Rhinolophus ferrumequinum: one gene and its partner. The protein of the gene in region 1 purifies or fractionates together with the protein of each later gene. This does not show direct contact. Links are inferred from orthologs where the notes say so. Each region holds a gene or a part of one and is shown in the gene's direction. Other genes may lie near its edges. The genes, in order: ABCA1 and NR1H2.

Region 1 (11,780 bases):
ATAAATTCCTTCATGTAAAATTAGTGGATCAAAGGCTCTTAATACACATTGCTGAGTTGTCTGTCAGAATGTCGGGCCAATTCACATGCTACCAACACCCTTTGTTTTTATGATCTTCATTTCCTTCTCTTTGATTTTATTTCCTTAGATGCCTTAGGACTAGACCCTCAATTTAGCTTTCTTTTCTCATTCTAGTAGTGTGTCCAGGGCTGCCCAACCCCAACCATAAGTAGACAGATGTGTGGACTTCCTACCAAACTCTGCTGGGTAATGGAGTCCATCAAGAGAAAACCAGCTTTAGGGTCAGCTCCGTGGGAAACCCCAGCCCTCTAGGAATGGAGCCCATTCTCCACTAATTTACATCCTTGTGGGTGATTCTGTGCGTGTGATTTTCTGGGCCATGTAACCAGCTAAGAAATAGCTCAGATTTCATTGGACAACATCAGTTACCAGAAGCATGGCAACAAGGAAGGGAAATAAAGGCCTGCTCCCATGACATGGTCACAGCACATCTGGACAGTTAGTCCTTGAGGAGGTAAAAACATGCATTCTGTCTAGACAATTGCAGAAGGGTAGAAGGGTACTGTACAAGGCCAGATCAAACCACCACAAGACCACTGGAGAGGGGGAGGATAATAAAGGGAAGACCATGTACTTCTGCAGGAATCCTTCCCAAAATACTGAAGGAGAAAAAGAGAGGCTTGCCTTTCTAGGGGCCTAAGAGAAAAGGGAAATCTGGAACATTTTTTAGGATTTCTTTTTTTTTTTTTTTAATGACTTAATTCTCTTATTAATATGTCAGAGAGAAAGAAAGCTCCTGGCTAAGAAATAAAACAGTCCCTCATCCCAGAAATCATGGCCAGGAATATGGATTCTTAATAAGTATCAAAAAAGCACTTTGAATAAGGAGAGAAGAATGTAGACACATCATTTCTGTTACAATAAATGCTTGATTTCTTTTAATCCACAGAGTCTAATTATTTTCTTTTCAAACTTAAGGGCAGTGTTTCCCCTCTGAATCTATTGCTACACTTACTAATGGATCTGAGCTGAGGGTATTATTGGCCTATTAATTTCAGTACTTACAACAATATCTATCTGTAATAATTCCCTCTCTCTCTCCCTCCTTTATACTCCCCTCCCTCCCTTCCTCCCTCTCTTTCTGTCTCTCTCCCCTACCCTATGTCCCATACTTTCTATTTAATGAGGGAAGTGGTTTCTATATCCTTTTCCTTCCTTTTCTTCTCTGTCCCTTTTGCCTCCTGCTTCTAGAGTAGAAGCACATGGATTTGTTATTTAATCCCATCCATCTCTTTCAGTGTGTAATCTTACACAGGAAGAGAGGGGTGGAGATGACGATTTCCAAGCAATGGGAACTGCATGTGCAGAGACATGGAAAGTTTGCGGACAGGGGAATGGGCAAAGATAAGATAGGAGTGGGGGAATGAAAGAGGAAGCAGCGCCTACAATGAGGCTCCAAAGGCCTGCAAATGTCATGTTTGCAAAGGTGTCTGTAGGTATTCTTAAGGAATTTTGAGGGTATTTTTTTCTTTGTAAGCAATGGAGAACCATAGGCAGTTTTGGGAGGGGGGGAAAAGATATGACTATTTTTTGGTTTTGTGTTGGTTTGCTTAGGGTTTCTCCCCCCAAAGCAAAAATTACTCCATGGTGTTAGGGAAGATAAATAGGAAGGGGAAGAAACTAAAGGCAGGAACAGCAGTTTGGAGGTTACTGCAACACAGAAGCACAGACCTTTGGCTTGGGCTTAAGCAGTGGGTGTGGAGATGAAGGGGCAACTTTAAGAGATATGTTTGACTGACCCGACATTGGTGCTTTTTAGAATGAGAAGGAAACGATGGGGACACAGAGATGAAAAGTTAAGCAAGGGTGACTATGATTTCCCATAGTCAATGTGTGGATGATGATGTCATTAAGTGAAATGATAAAATGCAGCTGGAGGGGAGAGACATAAAGGGAAGATTAAAAATTGGTCCGGGGTTTATCGGCAGACTGTCTCGTTCAGTGTGCTGGTAAATGTTAACTGGCTTTCCAAAAAAATAAAAGAAAGCCCCACTTGTATCAGATTTCCAATGGTGTAAATATTCCTACCATTGGCTGATTTTAAACTAGCCCCATGGAAGTCACTTACTGCAGAGGTGGGAAGAGATATACACAGTCAGCTCTTCTGAGCCGGAGTGAGCTGACTCCAGCACCCCACTGGTCCTGCTGGGTATTCTACGTAATTAGGGAACACAGTCCAGGAGCTCAGGGAGGAGATAAGAGCTGGCGACACAGGGTTTAAGTGAAGCCACGGGAGTGGAGCATGTAGAAATAGACAGAGAAAAACCAGTATAAAGGGAAATATATATAAGGAAAGAGGAGTCAGAAAAAGAGCCGTGAAAGAGGCAGAAGAGGCATAAGAGAACTGGATTCACGCAATACAAGAGAAGAACTGGTTTCAGGAAGGAAGGTGTGGTCAATAGTGTCAGATACCAGAGATCAGGTAGCCTAAGGACTAAAAGGAGGTCATCAGCGGTACCAATTAATGGTCTTGTTTTATATACTGATAAAAAAGAAAGCTCACATGCCTATCTCTTTTTAAGGAGGTCACTAATGAATTTGGACAGAACAGAGTGGCGGGGGCAAGAGTTTGCCTGTAATGGGCTGGTGAGGGAATGAAAGGGAGGGAGGGGAGATGAAATCTTTCCAGCAGTTTGGCTCTTACGGGAAGGAGAGTGTGAAGGGAGGCAGGTGGGAAGGATGGCTTTTAAGAAAGAATTATAACTCATCGATCAACTAGTAATTCAGGGGCACATATCTGTCTATAAGCCAGGCTAACTTGTTGATCCCAGTGACAAAGAACAGATCTTACTCAAATCCAAGAACAGTAATGGTTTTGAATCTTGCTTAAATGTCAATAGCAGTCACATTAATACAGAAGGGAATTGCATTGGTCTAATTAAACTGAATTCGTAGGTACAGAGAGCCTGTGCAATGTGCAATACATAGTTTACTCCACAAATAATGGCGATTCCTCATTTAAAAAAAAATTTAAACATCAATTGCTTGACGATTTGTTGGTGTGTCTAACCATGTATTGGAATTAAACTGACTCAGATATGAACTGCAGGTCCTTTTTTTCCCTCCGTATATGAAAGGATTACCTTTTTTTTTTCTTTTTTGAGGCACCTCTCATTTTCCGTGGAATTCTCAAAAAAGAATCCAGCTTTTAGGTCTTTTTAATTATAACAAATTCAGCTTGAAAACTTATTCTTAGAATATTTTCTTTTTATTCTTCATTGACTTTGTGTAATACTCTATTTTTTCAGAGTTTTCAGGAACAAAACACAATACATACCAACCAAAAATACGTATGTGATGGGAATCATTTATATTTTAAGAAATGTGTATATGTACATTTATGTAGACCAGTTAACAGATACTATATATCAAAGCAACCGCCAAGAAAGCCTTTTAGATAATCCATAATTTGAAAGTCTCAATGGAATGATAAAATTGAGCTTCTCTGTAGCTCCACGATCTCTAGCAGGGTCTCCAAGGTCACAGCTGCCTGAAGGGTGATTCCCTGATTAGAAGATGCCAGGGTCATTTCAGACTAGAACTTTAGGCTCCCCAGGCTACATTTACAGAATCAGATTCTCCAGAGCAACAGTAACAAAGAAGGGCCTTCCTACATATTTGGAGAGGGCCACATAGGGTGCAGATTTGGAGTTTTGGTGTTGGTGTTACTAGCAGGAATTGCAAAACTTGGGGAAAAGCTCACTAAAGCATACTCAGGAAAAAAAAATCAACCTACGACATTCAAGGGAGAGAATTCACACTTGTAAACTTCCTCAAGGGACACGTTCTCTTAGGCTCTAACTTTTAGAATTCAGTATTTTTGTCACCCTGGCAAAGTATGGGCTTGGTGTCAGCAGACTTGTGTTCCTACATCACCTGGCCAAATCACATAGCCTCTTGGGCTTTTATTGGTAGAAATCAATGAGACTATAAACAGATTTCAAACATTGTAGTATATACATGTATTCATTGTAGGGGTGAGCAGGTTCTTGACACCACTGGTTTTTCTTAGCTAAAAATGATCAAGCTTGGCTTTGGGGCCACTGATTTATGTATTTAGAATCAATGGCTATCCTCTCTCTGGGGCTTTCATCTTCTTGGGCTCAACTCCTTTCTCCAGCATCCTATCTTTTTGTTATTTGTGAAGACTTCTTGTCGCTCCTTTCCCAATAAAATAATCTAAGGGATTAGTTTAGTAGGGGTGCTCTTGGGAACCATAGCCTTTAAAATTCCAAAAACAATAATTTTGGTGGTGGGATTTTAAGCACTGTGATAGGTGGGTGGGTGGGGGTGCAGGGAATAGAGAGTCAGGGAGACCTAATCACTCCCCCAAATCACACTTGGAATGGTAACACCTCCTCCAGGAGCTTTCCTTTATCTCTAGAGGTCCAGAGATATTACTTTTAACTGTTTGCTAGACCTGAAGTTTTAAAAGTTTGCCATGGGAAAATCTTTATAGGCCACGGCTGATATCTGAAAATGACATTAATAGTCAGCAAATAACACCCTCTTTGTTTATAGTGCCATTCTTTCAAGGAGTTTAAAATAAACAAAATTCACTTTCAGATAACTCCTGTGAGGCAAGGAGAGAATATATATTTTCTCCATTTTCCAGATGAAAACATGGAGGCAGAAAGTTATGGATCATGTGGTTCACTCAAATTTGACCCCTTTGTTCTTTGACCCAGGCAAGAGGGACCTCTCTCCTGGCACCTGAGCTTCAGAAGGCTTGCCTCTGGCTCTCCTCCAACTCTATCTCTTCCTAAGGATGAGCAGTCCACAGGGCCAGGACACCAGAGTGCTGGGACCCCAGAGTTCCTTGTCCTAAGGCTCCTAAGTGTACTTTGCAGGCTCTGCATGGGCTTCCTCACTGAGTCTGTCCGGAGTGTTGACACAACCAGTGGCTTTTGCACCTGGGTTCCAGTTGTGGTCTTCACGGTTCCCATGAAGAGAGCTTGTGCAGCTGGGGGTCCACGTGCACACAGTGGAGGTTCTTCTGGAATATAATGGAGCTGAAGATGGGAAGAGAAAGGGTCTGGGGGCAGCCTGTCCCGTTCCACCAAAACTAAGGTCAAACTATGAGGAGTCTGAACATGAACTTGCCCTTCTGGGTTGCTTCCAAGGTATCTTTGTCAAGGTAGGAGACATTTATTTTACAGTCTGTTGGCTTGATTTATGACTTCAATATTTAGACTTAAGTATGTGGGCCCCCATTTGAAATCTTTCCGCTGTCCCTTGAATGTTATGAGCAGCCTTGCTTCTGATTGGCAAAGCCAAAGTTAGAGGAAGAAATTGGAGATCTATCTGGATGGTTACATAATTTTACTTGATTGTGATTCTCTAGCTGCACTTTGCTAATCTATAGAAGCCAAAATACAAGCCCTGTGTATATATCACTGGAATGCTGACCAATGCAATGAAAATAAAAAGGGGGCTGGTCCACATGGTTCCGTTATTTGTCCTTCCTTCCCCCTCACCCCAGTTTAAGAAGAGGAGCAAGACGCTTTTCATTGGCCCTCCCAGGCTGGGAATCCCAAAGGCAATAGCTTGCCTATTGAATACCAAAGTCAGGGTTTGTGGAGGAAAACAAAAACAGCCAATTATCCAGAGGACTGTCCGCCTTCTCCCATACCTTAGGCTTTTGAAAGGAAAGAAAGACTAAATGGTTGGCGTCAGGCAGGTTTTCAGCCTCACTTTCTCTCTCCGTCCAATCCCAACGACTGAGTGAACTAACAAAGAAAAAACGTTGCTGAACAGCACGGGTTGAGAGGAAGCGATTTCCACTAATGCTGCTGGCTGCCCGGAACGTGGATGAGAGAGACAGTGTCCCGCGCAGCCCCAAGCCCCGCGTTGCCTTCTTATCCTACGAGGCCAGGGCTGGGCGGGGACAGGAGGCGCAGACCCCGGACGTGGCGATGCCGGCAGCACCCCCGGCTTTCCACCCATCGCCCGCAGTCCCGCGGGGAGCGGCGGGACGTCGCCCATTTAAGGGGCGGGGCGCGGCTCCACGTGCTTTCTGCTGAGTGACTGAACTACAAAAACAGAGGCCGGGAAAGGGGGCGGGGAAGGAGGCAAAGCGAACAGGCTTTGACCGATAGTAACCCCTGCGCTCAGCACAGCCGAATCTATAAAAGGAACTAGTCGCGGCAAAAGCCCGGTAATTCCGAGGGAGAGTGACTGGGGCCGGGACAAGCCGAGTCCACACTTCTCTCCCCGGGCGCAGGTGGGCAGGGCAGGAGGCGCCGCAGGACCAGCGCCGCTAGAGCCAATTTCTCCGGGCGCTTTGCTCCTTTTTTTTTTCTTTCTTTTTTTCCGGTTTTATTTTGGGATTTTTCCCCCCTTCTCTGGAAGGGTTTTTCAAGGGGTGGGGAAAAGAGACGCAAACACAAAAGTGGAAAACAGGTAAGAGGCTCTCCAGGGACTTAGGCGTTATTGTTTTGTTTTGGGGCCGAGGAGTCTTTGGGAAGCGCTAGGTTGCGGGGAGTTTAGTCCGAACCCTCACATCCCCGTCTCTGGCAACGCAAATGGTGCGGGTGCTGTAAATGCAGGGAGAACGTCCTAGGACGAGCTTCGGCCACCCAAAGGCCCGGCGCTGCTGCGTCCCGGACTCGCCCTGCAGTGGAGCTCAGGGAGCATCTCTGGGCGTGGAGACTCGGGCGCAATACCTAGGGCGCAGTGGGATGGGGGGGCTCCTGGTCGTGCTGGGGGCACTGCTGCCGGAGTGGGCAGCGTGGCAGGTCCCACACAGAGTGCTTCCCTTTGTTTGGAAGCTTCTGAGCTGGCTAGAAACCCCTCTGGCTGCAGGTCTGCCGGCGCCCATAGGGATGAATGCCAGCACTTAGTCCCTATTCCGTTCTTGGGAAGCTGCTCTAAGTTGGGCTCTGACCTGGTGATCGGCCCCGTGCGTCCCCGGACTGGAGTAGGCGTTCTTGTTCCCCAAGAACTCGACTGGGAGGTGTCCCAAACGGGGTCCGTAGCTATTGCTCACTTGAGGCCTCAGGGGCTTTGTTTGACTTGGAAGTCCTGCGGATGGTCTCCGTGCGCTCACCCGAGCTGGTGTACCTGGCTCAGTGGGGTGGGGGCGGGGGGACGAGTTTTGTTCCTTTGAAAAACAGAAGACTTAGAAGGAGAGCCTGCGGAATCCTAGAGCCGAGGTGCCTATTCTCTCGTCCCCCATCTTCCTGCCCTTTGGTGCTTGTCTCTTGGAGCAGCCTCAGGGAGGGCACGGATGAAGAAAGAAGCTGGGGCGAGATGGTGCAGCGGAATGACCGAGAGTAACCCCGGCGGGCGGTGCAGAACTCAGCTTCGCGGCTGGGCTGGCCTCCACAGTGGGGGTGGGGAGGGGCTGGGCGCCGGCTGCCCGTGGCCCCGGGGGACTGGCCCGCAGCGCCTCCTGGCCGGGTGGCCTGGGAATCGGCCCTGTGGCTGGCGTGGGGCCGGGCTCTGTAAGGCGTTGTCGCTCGCGAGTTCAGACCAAGATCTCTTGAAGAAGGAAACCTGGGGAATTAGGCGAAAGCTGGTCTGTTTTTTTTTGTTAGAATGTATCTCGACTCCCAGACCGTTGCTAAATCCGAAGGTTCTTGGGGCGTGGGCCAGTGCCAGAGTTGTGTTGTAGGTGCCTCTTTTTCAGCACTTATTAGAAGAAAGGAAATAAACAAGATAAAAAAAGCGGGGCGGGGGGAGGAGAGACTAGAAGAGAAAGAAAAAGCTTCTGGCGCTTAAAATAATTGACCCTTTGGCATCATTGATACCATCAGCTTTTAAAACCCAAGGCTTTTCAGTGACATCTCACAAAGTGAGTGGGTGGTATATACATTCATATAATAGAGGACAACTTTGATATTTAAAAAAACTTCCTTGGTGACAAAAAAATCAGCAAGTACTTAATTTCTCATCTCCCCTTTTATTTCAGCCCCTTTTCCTCATACCTACCACAACAATAATGGAGGCTTTCTGTAGTTCATATCATTCTCTTGAGATACTTCTCCCAAATCAAAGAAAGTGGGAAAGCATGGAGAATGTTCTAGAATAGAATCTCTTAAGATAGTATAATAATTTTCAAGTGCAAAGTTCCCATTGTCAGCCTGTTTCCCAAATGCTTCTATAAAGTATTAAAATAATTCATGATAGAGTTCGGAATACATTGGATACACAAAGCAAATTCGTATCTACTTGAGAAAATGCAGTAGGATCACCGTGACCAGACTTCGTGATGACCAAGGTCCACGTAAGGGTAAGAATTAATTGCTACTGTAGTCAGAGTAATTGACGAGCCCCTTTGCAAGGACAAGCTTGGTGTTCCAGAATCACATATGATTGTGAAGGAGATACCTACGATACGTGCATCTCCTGTCCAGATGAGTATTTGAAATCTCAACCCTTACAAGTATTTTGATTTATATCTAAATAGAGGCCTATGATGGATGCTGGACACATTTTGGCTTGGGCATATTGATAGTTCATGTGAGACAATGATTAGTCTAGGACTGGAAAACGGTAATTGGGACTTGGTTTAAACCAATGCTCTAGGAAGTCTCAATGCTTACATTATTAAAAAGTAGTGAAACCAAACGAAACTCAGCAACACAGCTTTTTATTATCTTCTGTAGTACTTATATATAGAGAAGTTGGAATATTTTTTGAGTTAAATTTTTTTGTTTTAGGGATCTTCCCCTCCATAATACAAGTTGCTTATACTATGTTCGTAGTGACCACAATTGTTAATATGTTTGTGATTTAAATTTTTAGCTCCTGAAATAATTAAATGGACATTGCCTTACTCTTTAATTAGGAACCTTTTGGATATCTAGAAAATACCAATAGATGTGGTTTTTGCATTTCTAAAATACTCTTAAATCCAAATATATTTTTATTTACTATCTGGGTACTAAAGAAATAATGCAAGTATAATGTTCCTTAGTGGTCAGTTACTCCAGCATCAGATTTTAAAAGATCTTTCTGAAAATTTGTTTTATTTAACTCTCCTGGCAGAGGATGTACACTGAAAACAGAGATTGTCTTCGTATCTGCATGTGGAAATAATCATAAATGCCAAAGTTATTACAATGTTTATTTAATGACTATTAAATAGCAGTATGTGCCAAGTACTATTCCAAATGTTTTTCAAATACTAATTTAATCTTTGCAACAAACCCATTTATTATTCCTATTTTGTAGATTAAGAAACTGAGAGGTTAACTAACTTCTCCCTGGCCATACATCTTGCAAGTGGCAGAGCTAAGATTTGAACTTAGCCAGTGAGCTCCAGAGTTCTTGAACTCCCACACTGAGTCGTGAGGTGGTACAGTTACAGTTGCTGGGAGCAGAGGACTTTCCAAGGATGCTCACACTGTGTTTTGGTACACGCATCTGCTAAATTCTTATCAGAATCAACAGCCTGTATCATATTTCCCTTATTGCTGTGAGTGGGCCAGCCAAATTCTCTTCTGCTTGTTGGGACATTGGTTGCATAGGGATTGCAACACCATGGAAAGAACAGACAATAAGATTTACTCAACTCTAATTCTTTACTTGATTTATAATGAAAAAAGTACTATTGCTTCAGTCAAATATTTGTGAGTAGGTCTATGATCTCAAAATGTTTTCCTGTGTGATACAAAGAACATGGAATAACAGAGTATTTAGCAGTAAAAATATAAGCAACAAAAGAGAAAGGAAAGAGAGCTAGCTATTTAACTGTCTGTCAGTCCTAACTTTGGTGAATTTTTTAAAAAATGACTATAATTCAATACGATTCCTGCCTGTTCTATCTCTAACTATGTTTTGGACCTTTTGAGCTATTTCTCTGTTATTGCCATTACTGTCTAGGAAGCAAATTTAGCCTTTTTTAGGCATTTTTCTCTGAAAATAAGTAGCAATTTCAAAGTCTGCTTTATAAAAGTGAAATAGGATGGAAAACTTTTTCTTATTAAATTGGTGTAGCAAATTAAAAATAAACTCTTAGAAAACATTTCTTCTTGGTAAAACAGTTACATTTATTATGGATTTACTATATGCTGGATGTTGTTTTAAGCATTTTACATGTAATAATTCAGTTCATTTTCACAAGACCACATGAGGTACAGACTGTTATTATCTTCTTTTTATAGACAGGGAAACTGAGGTATAGAGTTTGTGAGCAGTGTGATCATAGATTTGTAAGTAGTGGAGCTGAGCTTGCATCCACGCAAGTTTGGTTTCTAATTGAAATACTAGCACGAGGCAAGGAGTTATTCTTCCTTTTCATTTGTCTATTTTCACCTAAAAATAGTTCCCTGGATAGGTAATCAGCATAGATATTGTTAGAGAGGTACGTATGAAAAATATTTGAAGCCAGAGAATGAAAATCTCGTGTATAAAACTGCTTTCAGATAGAACCTTTGGTTACGCTGCATTTTGTTGAGATGATAAACTATATTAAAGCAAAGAGCGTTTAACAAAGAACGAAGACTTGGATCCTAAAAAAAAATTAACTTTGAAATTCTGTCTTTTTACATTTTGAACACCCATTTTAAGACCTGATTGAAATGCCATCGTTCTCCTAAACTTGTGGATTCAACTCTTCCTTGCCAACACAGGGTTAAAATTAATTATCCCCTTCTTTTTTACTCCCATAAGACTGGATTGCAACAGTATTCATGCCATGTATTTAATTGTGTTTTTTTTGGAAATAGTTAACATTTATTTGTCTTCCTTTTGAGTGGAAGGAAAGACCTCCTCCTCCAGGAGGAGATCTTCCATTCACTCTCCCCAGTCCTTAATTCAACTCCCTTTATATGGGGTATGCAAGGAGTTCAATAAATGCTGACTCGAGCAAGTCAAAGACAATGGGAAACTACTGTTTGTTTCCTCTATTCTAAAAGCTGAACTAAAATGATGGAATAATCATAGAAAAGCTTTAGAAATAAAATTATATGAGAAATAACTGTACTTAAGTTTAGGTTTATGATTGAGAAATTTTAGCCTGTACTTAAATTATCTTGACCAGCTAACTTTCTGGAGAACAAACAATTCTGAGTCTATTCAGTTTCATTTCTCTTTTTGAAGCAGCTGCAATTTGAAAAAATGCTATAGTCGGTGACATTTCACATTCAGAGTACTTTGATTTGCACATTAATTTATTTTTTAAATAAGAATGAGATAATTCAGTAATTTATAATTTAAATAGTTTTTAAAAACCAAAATCCTTTTATGCATAGGATCTATTTTATTCATTCTCTCTCTGTGTGTGTGTGTGTGTGTGTGTGTGTGTGTGTTTATTTAAAACTCTGCAACATTTTTTATGCTAAATCCGACTTCCAAGAAGTATTTGGAAGTCAAAGCATTTTTTCTGGTTAGTCTTGAAGTCAAGATGTTTTACGATAACTGGATAACTGGTATATAGTGTGGGACATTTCCTAGGAAGAATTTTATGTACCTAAAACCAATCTGTGGTTATTTAGGAGAGGATTTTTTTACTACCTTGAGAATATGATGAAAGCTGTGGATTATCCCTTCAGAAAAAATATACATAGACATGTACGCTCCAGAATTTACATATAATTACATATAATTACAAGTTTACACATAATTATATTTTGCATATAATTCCAGAAACCCACTAAGGAGACATGTGACCTTGGACAAGTCATTCTGTTTTTCTGAGATTTAGATTCTTGGTTTATAAAATGAAAGAGGCTGAAGTACTTGACTTTTAAAGT
Region 2 (11,780 bases), on another chromosome or scaffold:
TCCTTCCGCCCACCTCCCCATTCATATGTTGGAACCCGTTCCCCAGTGTGATGGTATTTGGAGGTGGAGCCTTTGAGAGGTGATTGATCATGAAGGTGGAGCCCTCATGAATGGGATTCGTGCCCTTATAAAATTGACCCCAAAGAACCCCCTCACCCTTTCCTCCATGTAAAGACACAGTGCAGACGGCCATCTATTAACCAAGAAGCAGGCTCTCACCAGACACCTAATTGGCCAGCGTCTTGATCTTGGACTTCCAAGCTCCTGAAACCGTGAGAAGTAAACTTCTATTATTTATAAGCTGCCCAGCCTGTCATATTTTCTTATAGCAGCCCAAACAGACTAAAACACTGTATGATTCCATTCATACTAAGTTCAAGAACAAGCAAAGCAAACCTATAGTTACAGAAGTTGGAATTGTGGTCATCCTTTGGGTAGGGTATTAACTAGAAGGGGACACCAGGGAGTCTTCACGAGCACTGAAGAACTTCTGTACCTCAATCTGAGTGGTGGTTATTTGGGTGGATATATCAGTAAAAAATCACTGAGCTGTACATTTAAGATCTCGCAATTTAGGTAAGTTTTACCACCAAAAAACTTAAAAAATAAATATAGAGATAGTTGCCAGAAAAAAAAGTGTTTACATTATTACAACTATGTAAATGCTATTCTCATTTACAAGGATTGGAAAGACCTAGAGATAAGCAGTCTTGGGAGGGTGTACTAGTCAGCTAGTACTAGTAACAAATCACCCCAAAACTGAGTGGCTTATCACAGAAATAATCACTTGTTATTTTTTGTGGTCTCTCTGTGTTAGAAACTTGAAAGCAGCGTGGCCCTGCACTTGTGGCTCGTGGGGCTGCAGATCGATGTCAGCTGAGGCTGCCGATATCCAAAGGCTTCATTAAGGCTGGAGGATCTGCTTTCCAGATGGTTGGAGCCCCAACTCTTGAACTTCAGTTTCTTTTAAGATGCTGTAACAAGAAAGTCCCTTGGGGGATGCAGGAGGAAAGGGATCTTCAAGGATGGAGTTACAAGGGGGGAGGGCCCAGGCAGAGGGACAGGTCTAAAACCCACAAGTTTCAGGAAGCATCCTCAGCAGCACCGTGAGGAACTGTAAAGGGCATTCAGTAAAGGGGAATCCTAAGGGAACAAAGGGTCACAGGTTGTGCAAATAATGATGCAAGAAAGAGAAGGAAGTACTGCAAGAGGGAAGTTTTGAGTAGGGAGAGAAGTAAGTGGAGGGGTTGGCCTCCTTCAGATTGTCCAAACATGGGAGGGGCAGCAGTGGATGTATCCCTCTGCAGGTGGGCTAGTCGTATCCCTGGGGTAAGCATAGAGAAGTGTCTTTCTAATTGCTTTTATTTTTTTCAGCAAAAGAAGAAATGAGAATGAAGAGGGGTTTGGAGGAGGTTTAGAGAGAGAAAGTGAGAAAATGATTTCTTAGACTGAAGAAGAAAACTGTGGATTGGTTCTGAGTGTCCACTCAAATTTTGCACTCACACATCTGAAGTGTGTCCACTCACAACCTCTGCTGGGTGAGAGCAGGCAGGCACAGAGAAGGCTGAGTTCATTTTAACCAGGGTTGGGGTTTTGCCAGGAAAGTATGATTGAGGGAGAAAGAGCAAGGGAGTTAACATTATGTGTGCAAGGACGCGATTATCATGGTTGACCATAGAATCTATGCTTCTAAAGAAGGAAGAGAGGACGTGACAGGAGGTGAAGGAAATTGAGAAAAATGGGTAGATCAAAGAATCAGAGGTACCAATGGCATTACAGAATTGAAAGGCTCATGTGATTTGGCATCATTCCCTCTCTGACTTCATTTTTTCCCTATCCACCTTGCTCACTCCAATCTGGACACATTGTCCTCCTTGCAGTTCCTGAAACACTCCAGACTTGCTCCTGCCTCAGGGTCTTTGCACGGGCTGTTCTGCCTGAGTGTTTTCCCTCCAGAAAACCTTACTTTCTCCCTCTCTTCCTTCAAATCTTTGCTTAAATATCACCTTCTTAGAGAAGTCTACCGTGACCACCCTATCGAAAACATGACAACTATTTCCCCCCAGAATTTCCAATCTCCTTTACCCTGATCTATTTTTTTCATAGACTCAACACTTTTTAACATTTCATTAACTATAAGATGTCATCAGTTGTAAGCCACGCGCATGTTGGAATCAGTGATACTGTGTATACCGGCAATTATTACCTTTCCCCATTAGAATGTAATCTCCTCGAGGGCAGGCGTCTTCGTGTGTTTCATTTGCCACTATCTCTCCAGCACCTAGGACAGTGCCTGGCATCTAGCAAATAATAAATACTTTTAATAACCCACCGTGAGCACCCATTGCTCTGGGGGATTTTCCTGACACAGCAGATGGAGAGTCAGTTTCTCTACAGTAACTCTCACTACAACTCCCCCTCCTCTGTCTCAACAGTTCGAATCCTCAGTCTTGACTCCTCAGAATCTCCGCACCGGATTCTGCATCATCCAGACCCAGCCTGCAAATTCCAAAATGGCCACACGGTGGTGGTGTGGGCCTAGTTTCCCAGTCAATATCTGTTCTTTCCCGACTCTCCATATGAGTTTCTTTTTCGGAGTCCTAGTTTATGACTTATTCAAACTTTATGAACCATGGTCCTAACAGATGTAAATGTAAAGGTTTGTGATTATCCGCTATTTAGTATGGAGAAAATATTTTCTGATCAGCCTGTTTTACATGAATTCTGATAATAGTTACATTTGTTTTTTCACAGAAATTTCAATATACACTTCCTGAAAATCTTAAAAAATTAGTATAGACGCTATGAAAATGGTTGACGCTACGCACAACGTTTTTCCATTGGCAATAATATTTGGTGAGCTTTCTTGTAACCATGAAGAACCAGTCTCTTAGTTCAACTTAATTTCCTGACATCCAACAAGTACTTTTTAAGCACCTTCTCCAGGGTAGCAATTTTTCCTGTTAATATTTCACTTTTAAACTTTACCTCCCCAGTTTCTTGAGCTGAAATCCTGGAACACATTTCAAGCCTCCCTGCTTTTGCCCCTGAGGTTCCCACTGACCAGAATACTGACTCCATGGGAAGAGAAGCCAAGTAAATGCTTCCTGCCTGACTGCCACCTGCCCAAGGAGGCTGGGAGATGTCTTCTAAATACAATCAGCAAATGGGACCCAATCGTCACTATTTTGTCACAAAGTGGTTTGTGACCAGGTCCACTTCCACCATCAGACTAAAAGGCCCTCAACCTAAGGCTCACGCCTGACTGCTTTTTGGGTCTCCAAATTCATTCAGCACAATCTCACGACTGGATAAAGATTACTAGATTTTTCAGTCCACCATTTTATTTAATTGCCTAGCAACCTTATAAAAGAGGAATTATTGTCCACATTTTATAGAAGGGGGAAACTGAGGTGTGAGGTTGGGGGAAGGAACAGCCCTGGTGTACTCAGTGGGAAGTTGAACCCCGGTCTTGAGGTTCCAAACACCTTGGAATCAGCCCAGATGCCTTGCTTTCCCTCGCGGTGATCTATTGCTTTTGCTCTCCTTCCATTGGCCAGAATGGCATGTAGCTGCAAGGGATGCTGGGAAATGTAGTCATTTGTGTCACCAAGGGAAAGGGACCGTTTTTTGTGAATGCTTAGCCGGTGTTGGACAAGTGTGGCCCACAAGACCTCATTATCTAACCGTGCTCCCTCTATGATCTTATCTAGCACTCTCCCCTGACCCCTCTCCACTCTAGCCACCCTAACTTCCTTGTTGCTTTTTAAATATGCCTAAATTATTCCTGCCCAATCTTACTGATAACTTATATTAAGACTTTGCCACAATTTTGGAAAACATCACATCACCCATGCTGTCTAAGGCATATGAGTTCATACAACAGTCCTGTGTCAGACTGCACTGTAGCTTTCAAATTCACAGTAATTCTATATTTTGAAGTAAGAGCTAGCTGCCATATTGTGTCTTTCATGTACCTATGTTGAAGCACATATGATTTTATTACAAGTTAGCTTCTATTTTTCATCTTTTGTATTGCAGTTGGTGAAGTAAGATGCTATTTTGTTGTTGGGGTCATAGTTCAGCTGTATCATCTCTGTATTTCACTTCAGAATAGTAAAAGCAGAATTACATGTTACAAATTATTTATGATTAAAAGAAATAGAATTGGGTATCAGAATGCAAATTAAAACCACAATGAAATATCGCTTTGCACCCACTAGAATAGCTATAATAAAAAATGCAGTGAAATAAGTCAGACAGAAAAAGCAGAGAACCATATGATTTCACTGATATGTGATATATAAACCAAAAACAACAAAAGGACAAGACAAACAAATTAGAAATAAAAACTCATAGACACAGACAATAGTTTAGTGGTTACCAGAGGGTAAGGGGATTGGGGGGTGGGAGATGAGGGTAAGGGGGATCAAATATATGGTGATGGAAGGAGAACTGACTCTGGGTGGTGAACACACTATGGGATTTATAGATGATGTAATACAAAATTGTACACCTGAAATCTATGTAATTTTACTAACAATTGTCACCCCAATAAATTTTTTAAAAATGCAGATAATAACAAGTGTTGGTAAGGATGTAGAGAAGTTGAAATCCTTGCATATTGCTGGTGAGAATGTAAAATGATGTGTGCAGTCTGGCCATTCCTCAAAAAGTTAAACATGGAGTGACCATATGACCCAGCAATTCAACTCCTAGGTATATACCCAAGAGAAATGGAAACAGATAACTACACAAAAACTCGTGTTTGAATGTTCATAGCAACACTTTAGGCAAGAATAGAAATAACCCAAATGTCCATCAACTGATGAATTAATAAAATATGGTCTATCCACACAATAGAATAGCATTCAGCCACAACAGAAATGAAGTACTAATACATCCTACAATGTAGATGAACCTTGAAAACATCATGCTAAGTGAAAGAAGCCAGACACTGAAGGACATATAGTCTAAGATTCCATTTATAGGAAATGTCCAGAATAGGCAAACCCATACAGACAGAAAGTAGATTAATGGTTGCCTAGGACTCAGATGATGGGATAAGTGAGGGTGACTGTTAGTGGGCATGGGGCTTCTTTTTTGGGGTGGTGACAAAAGTGTTATAAATTGTGGTGTTGGTTGCAACAATTCCATGAATATACTAAAACCTATTGAATTGTACATTGAAAATGGGTGAATTGTATGGGTATGTGAATTTTATGTCAGTAAAGCTGTTACTAAAAAATAGGGTTATTAGGTGAGTTATAAATGAGAACAGTGGTCTGCAATTAGGTTCAGATAACAAAACTGACTGGATGCTTAGATATGCCAGGTACTGCTCTTCCTGAATCTTCGCACCTTTGATAAGAAATTCAAATATTTTCCCCCATTTTACAGGTAGGTAATTGAGGCTGAGAGTGACATGACTTGCCCCCAAACTGTTGCAATTCATCTTCAGTCTATTTCAGCCTTTTGCACTGTTCTAACAAAGTTAAAAACAACTTGAACATCTGCAGGAATAAACATAGCTTCCACATGTTGGGTTCCTTGTTTGAGCCTGGCCCAGTTCATAGTTTTTACTTCATTTAATTATAATGACAATGCAATGAATTGTTGTTCCCAATTTACAGATGAAGAAACTGAGGCATGGGGAGGGTAAATAGCTTGGCTCAACATCACACAGCGAGAAAGTAGCAGAGCCCCTGGTTCAGCCATCCCCCCCATGCCCACGTTAACCACTCGTTTTTATTGGTAACACCCTCAGCTGGAAATTCCACAGCTTCAAGGCCATGCCTGAATGGACAAAACAAGCTACAAAAAGCATGGATCATATATTGTATTCCCATTTTAAAACAATGTGTATATGCTCGCTATAATCTGATTATCATCATCAAGACTTTGGAACAATTTCCATCTTCTACCCATATAAGTATTCTGAGTTTTCTTTAAAAGCTCTTACTTGGGGTGGCTGGTTAGCTCACTTGGTTAGAGCACAGTGCTCTTAACAAGGTTGCCGGTTCAATCCCCACATGGGCCACTGTGAGCTGCGTCCTCCACAACCAGATTGAAACAACTACAAGACTTGGAGCTCATGGGTCCTGGAAAAAAATACTTAAACACATTTTTTAAAAAGTATTTTTTAAAAGCTATTAGTTGCATCTTTTTGGTAAGGCTACGCTTTAAAAAGAAATTCTTCCTATTACCAAGTTATTTTTAAAATATTTTTATTCTGGGTCTAGGTTTGCAATTTAACTTATTTAAAACTAACAAGTAGAGCACCTCCAAAATCAGAAATCTCCTAACAATCAAAAAAGGACAAACGTGCTTTCAATCAGCCCAATGCGAAAAGGAACTATAGCTGGGGAGACTTATGCCAAATAAATCTTGCTGGGAGCCCATAAAAACACATAGTGCCAGGAGGGAAAGTTTGGATCTGGCCACGATAGGGCGAATGAGTCCGGAATTCTTCTGCAGGCCCCCAAGGGAGCTACACCCAATGATAAACTTCCGGCGGGTATACGACTTCCGTGCGGGGCAGCCGACTAGGTTAGTCCTAGGCGGACCGGAAGTCTGTCACCCCTGAATCTCCGCCCCTTTCAGGAAGTGACGCACAGTGGGGTTGCCGGAAGAAGTGGCGAAGTTACTTTTGAGGGGACCCGAGCGGCGGCAGCGTGCCAGGGGATACAGAGGAGAAGGAGGAGAAGCAGAGCAAGGGGACGGAGGCAGGTGCACCCGAGTGTGAGGAGACGCGGGAGGAGCCCGGCCCGGAGCCTCTCGGAGTTCCCCGCGCTGCTCCGCTGAGCCCCTTCTCTCCTTCTTCTCCCTCCCCTCCATAGCTCGCGTCTCCCCCGACTGTTTCCAGGGAAACGGGAGGAGACCCCGCGAGAGACTGCCCACGAGACCCTCGCGCGCAGCCATGAGCCCCGCCCCCCACTGGTGTTCGGAGAGGGGCGGGACCTGGAGCGAGGTGTGGGGGCGGAGCATGGTGGGAGGAGGTGGAGGCGGGGCATAATGGGAGGAGATGGGGCGGGACCTGGAGGGGAGAGGTGCTGATGGAGCAGAGCAAAGTGATGGGGAAGCGCATTGTGGGAGGAGTCAGAGTGGAACGTGGAAGGGATTGGTCGGAGCCTAGGTGGAGAAGATGGGGGCGGAGCATAATAGTAGGAGGTGGGGTCAAAATGAGTTATAATAGGTTTGCTTTCGCGTAGAGGTGGGATGTAGTAAGAGTAGGTGGGATGAAACAGTGGAAAGGAGGAAGTAAGGGTGGAGCCAGACTGAAGCAGAAGGGGCAGTACCTTGAAAGAGCCTGTGGAAGGTATCTGGATCAGACACAACTTAAAGGAGGGGCGGGGTTTGAGGTCATGCAAAAGGTTGTTTTGGATCAGAAGTTGGGGGGGGACCCTTTTAGAATTGGAAGCCTTTGTAGACTGGCAGGGGTTTGGGGTGAGGTCTATATGCAGTAAGGAAGGAGCCTGAGAGAGATGGAAGAAACAGGTGACCCCTTCAAGACCTGTGGCTGACCTCACCTGAACTTCCCTAGCCCCACAGACTCTCAGACCCATTGTATTTTGCAGGCTGCTCCGTGACCCCCACCATGTCCACCCCCACCACAAGTTCCCAGGATACCCCCTTGCCAGGTGAGTGAGCCCTTCCCAGCTCAGTCCACCGCACCATCACACACTTGTCAGGAGAAACTCACTGTGACTCCCTCTCCCAGGAAATGTCCCCCCTCAGCCCAGCGCCCCCTCTTCTAAACCCGTTGTAAAGGAGGAGCGTCCTGAGCCGTGGCCTGGGGGTCCAGATCCTGATGTCCCAGGCACTGATGGGGCCGGCTCAGCCTGCAGCGTGGGTGAGACGGGGTCCAGAGATGGGCTGGGAGTGGGTATGCGGGGCTGGGGGAGGATCCAGGAAGGGAGAAAGATCAGAAATGAGGACCGGCGGCCCCGGTTTCTTGTTAACTTCTTTTCTCCTGTTCCTCTTTGGAGTTCACTGACATACACATCTTTCCCTCTGAATTGCTATCTCCCTGGGTCACCCTCTGTACTCTGGCTCCTTGTCTCTGATCTCTCACGGGCCTGTTCTCTGGCTGCTGTTTCTTTCCGTGGCTCTGTCTCATGGCTTTTTTCCACCCACTCCAGTCATCCCAGACCCAGCAGAGGAGCCAGAGCGCAAGCGAAAGAAGGGCCCGGCTCCAAAGATGCTGGGCCACGAGCTGTGCCGGGTGTGCGGGGACAAGGCGTCTGGCTTCCACTACAATGTGCTCAGCTGCGAAGGCTGCAAGGGCTTCTTCCGACGCAGTGTGGTCCGAGGTGGGGCCGGGCGCTACACCTGCCGTGGTGGTGGAACCTGCCAGATGGACGCCTTCATGCGACGCAAGTGCCAGCAGTGCCGGCTGCGCAAGTGCAAGGAGGCCGGGATGAGGGAGCAGTGTGAGTGTCAGGGAGGGAGCAGTTCCACCCTGGCCTTGCCCAGCTCTCGGGCCTCTGCTGAGGCCTGTGTCTCCCCAACAGGCGTCCTCTCTGAAGAACAGATCCGGAAGAAGAAGATTCGGAAGCAACAGCAACAGCAGCAGCAGCAACCCGTAGGGCCGGGGGTCAGCAGCAGCTCAGCCTCTGGGCCTGGGGCCTCCCCTGGAGGGTCTGACGGGGGTGGCCAGGGCTCAGGGGAAGGCGAGGGTGTCCAGTTAACAGCTGCTCAGGAACTAATGATCCAGCAGTTGGTGGCAGCCCAGCTACAGTGCAACAAACGCTCCTTCTCTGATCAGCCCAAAGTCACGGTACTGCCCCTTCCTCGGCCGTGAGGGGGTTATGGGCCTGGGATGGGGAGGGAATGGGGCTCCAGAGGGCAGGGGCTTGGAGAGGAGGGTCTTTTGGGGTGCAGGCTTTGCCTCACTGTGCCCCCATGGCCTTGGGCTTATGGGAGGAGTCCTGAGAGTGATCCTGGACCCCTATGTCCTAGCCTTGGCCCCTGGGCGCAGATCCCCAGTCCCGCGATGCCCGCCAACAGCGTTTCGCCCACTTCACGGAGCTGGCCATCATCTCGGTCCAGGAGATTGTGGACTTCGCCAAGCAGGTGCCCGGCTTCCTACAGCTGGGCCGTGAGGACCAGATTGCGCTCCTGAAGGCATCTACCATTGAGGTAATGGCCAGGCCACCCACCCTCAGCAAGCCTCTTCCTTTCTGCCCTCAAGGAACCCCAGGAATGAGCCTGAGGATGGATGCTGGTAGCACAGTGATGAGCAAGGCCTCTCCAGACCTTGCCCTTATGGGGATGATATTCTCCGGGGGCCTGTCAAAATACTAAACAAGATAATCAGAGTCTCCAAAGGGCCAGAGAGAGAAAAGAAACGGGCTGAGGCTGAGAATAACTGAGAATTGGGCTGAAGAGACACAGTTTAGAGAACGTGACAAAAAGGCTCTTTAGAGGAGTTGACATTTAAACTAAAACATTGGTAATAAATAAGGTTTGAGTGACTAGTGTGTGCCAGGCTATACTCCAAGTGCTGGGCACATGACAGAGAACAAAACAGGCAAAAATACTGCCCCTGTGCCTCGTAACCACCTGGGGAGAGTGTCCCAAGTGGAGGGAGCTGTGTGTGCTGAAGCTGGAGGAGAGAGAGAGTGTGCTGTCCAACCTGCAGACTGTAGGCTGGCGTGCTGAGAGAATGGGGGGCAGGGATTCCCTGCGCCCCTGCTTCTGCCCACCCCTCTCCCTGCTGCCTTCAGATCATGTTGCTGGAGACGGCCAGACGCTACAACCACGAGACAGAGTGCATCACTTTCCTGAAGGACTTTACCTACAGCAAGGACGACTTTCACCGAGCGGGTATGGCCCGGCAGGCTCGGGGGTGGAGGCAGGACTGGCACCCTGACGGGCCCGGCTGCCTGGGAAACATTGGGTTGTCTCAGTCCTGTCTGAGCTTCTGTTTCATCGTCTCCAAAGTGGGGTGAGAGTTGAGTGAGTTTTGCAGTGAAATAAGAGCACGTTTATTGAGCACCGACTGCATGGTGGGACACAGTGCAGGATGAGACAGGGGTCTCTGCTAGCACGTAGGACATCCTGGTAGGAATTAAGAAGAGACACTCTCTCCTCCCACAACCTGATCTCACCCAAGGGAGGCTGGATCTCAGTCCATTGTGCAGTAGACAGCCTACCCAACTGTACGGGGCAGCTCTAATCTCTGCCCTCCAAAAGCACTTGCCTGGGGATGTGACCTGGGTGGTGGGCTTCTGCGGCCTGAGGGGTGAGAGGCATCACCTAGGAAAAGGGAGGTGGGGAGTAGCATTGGCCACTGGGGATCTGCATGTGCAAAGGCCCTGAGGTTGTGAAGAACGGGACAGTGTTACCGAACGCAAGGAGACCCAGGCAGCTAGAGCACAGAGATAAGGTTGAATAAATGTTTGCTGTCATTACTCATCCCCTCACTCAGGCAAGATTTATGGCACACCTACTTCATGTCAGGCACTCCGACAGGCAGTGGGAACACAGGTGAACAGAAGTGAGAACACTATAATGGCTGCCGTTTCCCTCACTCCGCTGATAGCGGGCATTGTCAGGGACCGGGTGGGGGCCGGTTTTGAGCTGGCGAGTTTATCAGGCAGGCCGCCCACCCCCAGGCTTGCAGGTGGAGTTCATCAATCCCATCTTTGAGTTCTCGCGGGCCATGCGGCGGCTGGGCCTGGACGACGCCGAGTACGCCCTCCTCATTGCCATCAACATCTTCTCTGCCGACCGTCCCAACGTGCAGGAGCCGAGCCGTGTGGAGGCCCTGCAGCAGCCCTACGTGGAGGCACTGCTCTCCTACACGCGCATCAAGAGGCCGCAGGTACCCGAGCCCAGCCCCTCCTGGGGTCAGCCTGGGGCTGGCGTCTTGCTTTTGTCTGAACCTGACTCTGTCCAACCCCGACCCCTGCTCCCTGGCAGCACTCAGGTCTGACGGATGTCCTCTCAGCAGAGCCTGTCTTCAGGCACCTGGCCCTTCAAAAGGAGCTGGGTGCAGGTCCCCATGCTCTGGCCAGCCGCTCCCCCCACTGGCTCTCCTGGCTCACCCCGGAGAGGGCTGACCAGAGCCTCACAGGGCAGGGCCCGGCCAACGCCCACCTCCCTCCTGTCCCCTGCAGGACCAGCTGCGCTTCCCTCGCATGCTGATGAAGCTCGTGAGCCTGCGCACGCTGAGCTCTGTGCACTCGGAGCAGGTCTTTGCCCTGCGGCTCCAGGACAAGAAGCTGCCACCTCTGCTGTCTGAGATCTGGGACGTCCATGAGTGAGGGGCCTGGCCATTCTGCCCCACAGCCCTGCACCCTCCAATGAACGGACATGGTCACCCCTTCTTTCTCCTGGGTGGGAAGGGGCCAGACCTGGGGTCCCACCTTCTGGCTTAGAGCACAGGCCCTGGCCCCGCCAGCCCTTCGCCCTCAGGATAAGCCCCAGTCAGGGTCTAGGAGGCTTCTTGCCCACCAAGTCTTCCTGGGAGGTGTGGATGGGTCACAGGTCCCAACCTTTGACCTCGCCAAGCACTCCCAGCTGCCCTCCCTGCCCAGCTTACACCTCAAGCCCACTGCGCAGTGCACCTTGAACAGAGGGAGGGGAGGGCCCATGGCACTACCCCACAGCCGAGAGACCACAGGCCCCCCTCTCCCTCTGCTCTTTTTATTTAATAAAAACTTAAGAAAAAACAAGACAAAAACAGGAAAATAAAATATGAATAGAAACCTGCCCTGAGCCAGACTGAGTCCGAGATGAACGGGATGGGCTGCTAGGGTCGTCACTGAAACTGG

What was found.
Region 2: the proteins of ABCA1 (region 1) and NR1H2 purify together in Homo sapiens (affinity purification with western blotting; 3 studies listed by BioGRID and IntAct, with this or other methods). This does not show direct contact. The link is inferred for Rhinolophus ferrumequinum from reciprocal best matches to the Homo sapiens genes ABCA1 and NR1H2.

What each region holds. Positions count from the first base shown.
Region 1 is NC_046295.1:59,053,812-59,065,591, reverse strand, and holds the start of ABCA1 (phospholipid-transporting ATPase ABCA1), read left to right. Parts: upstream 1-6,285; 5' UTR 6,286-6,304; intron 6,305-6,352; exon of another isoform or gene 6,353-6,483; intron 6,484-11,780. UniProt on the Homo sapiens protein: Catalyzes the translocation of specific phospholipids from the cytoplasmic to the extracellular/lumenal leaflet of membrane coupled to the hydrolysis of ATP.
Region 2 is NC_046298.1:45,212,150-45,223,929, forward strand, and holds NR1H2 (oxysterols receptor LXR-beta), read left to right. Parts: upstream 1-6,597; 5' UTR 6,598-6,725; exon of another isoform or gene 6,726-6,741; intron 6,742-6,839; 5' UTR 6,840-6,970; intron 6,971-7,577; 5' UTR 7,578-7,597; coding exon 7,598-7,640; intron 7,641-7,720; coding exon 7,721-7,852; intron 7,853-8,141; coding exon 8,142-8,432; intron 8,433-8,513; coding exon 8,514-8,779; intron 8,780-8,961; coding exon 8,962-9,141; intron 9,142-9,728; coding exon 9,729-9,828; intron 9,829-10,619; coding exon 10,620-10,828; intron 10,829-11,123; coding exon 11,124-11,270; 3' UTR 11,271-11,705; downstream 11,706-11,780. UniProt on the Homo sapiens protein: Nuclear receptor that exhibits a ligand-dependent transcriptional activation activity. Binds preferentially to double-stranded oligonucleotide direct repeats having the consensus half-site sequence 5'-AGGTCA-3' and 4-nt spacing (DR-4).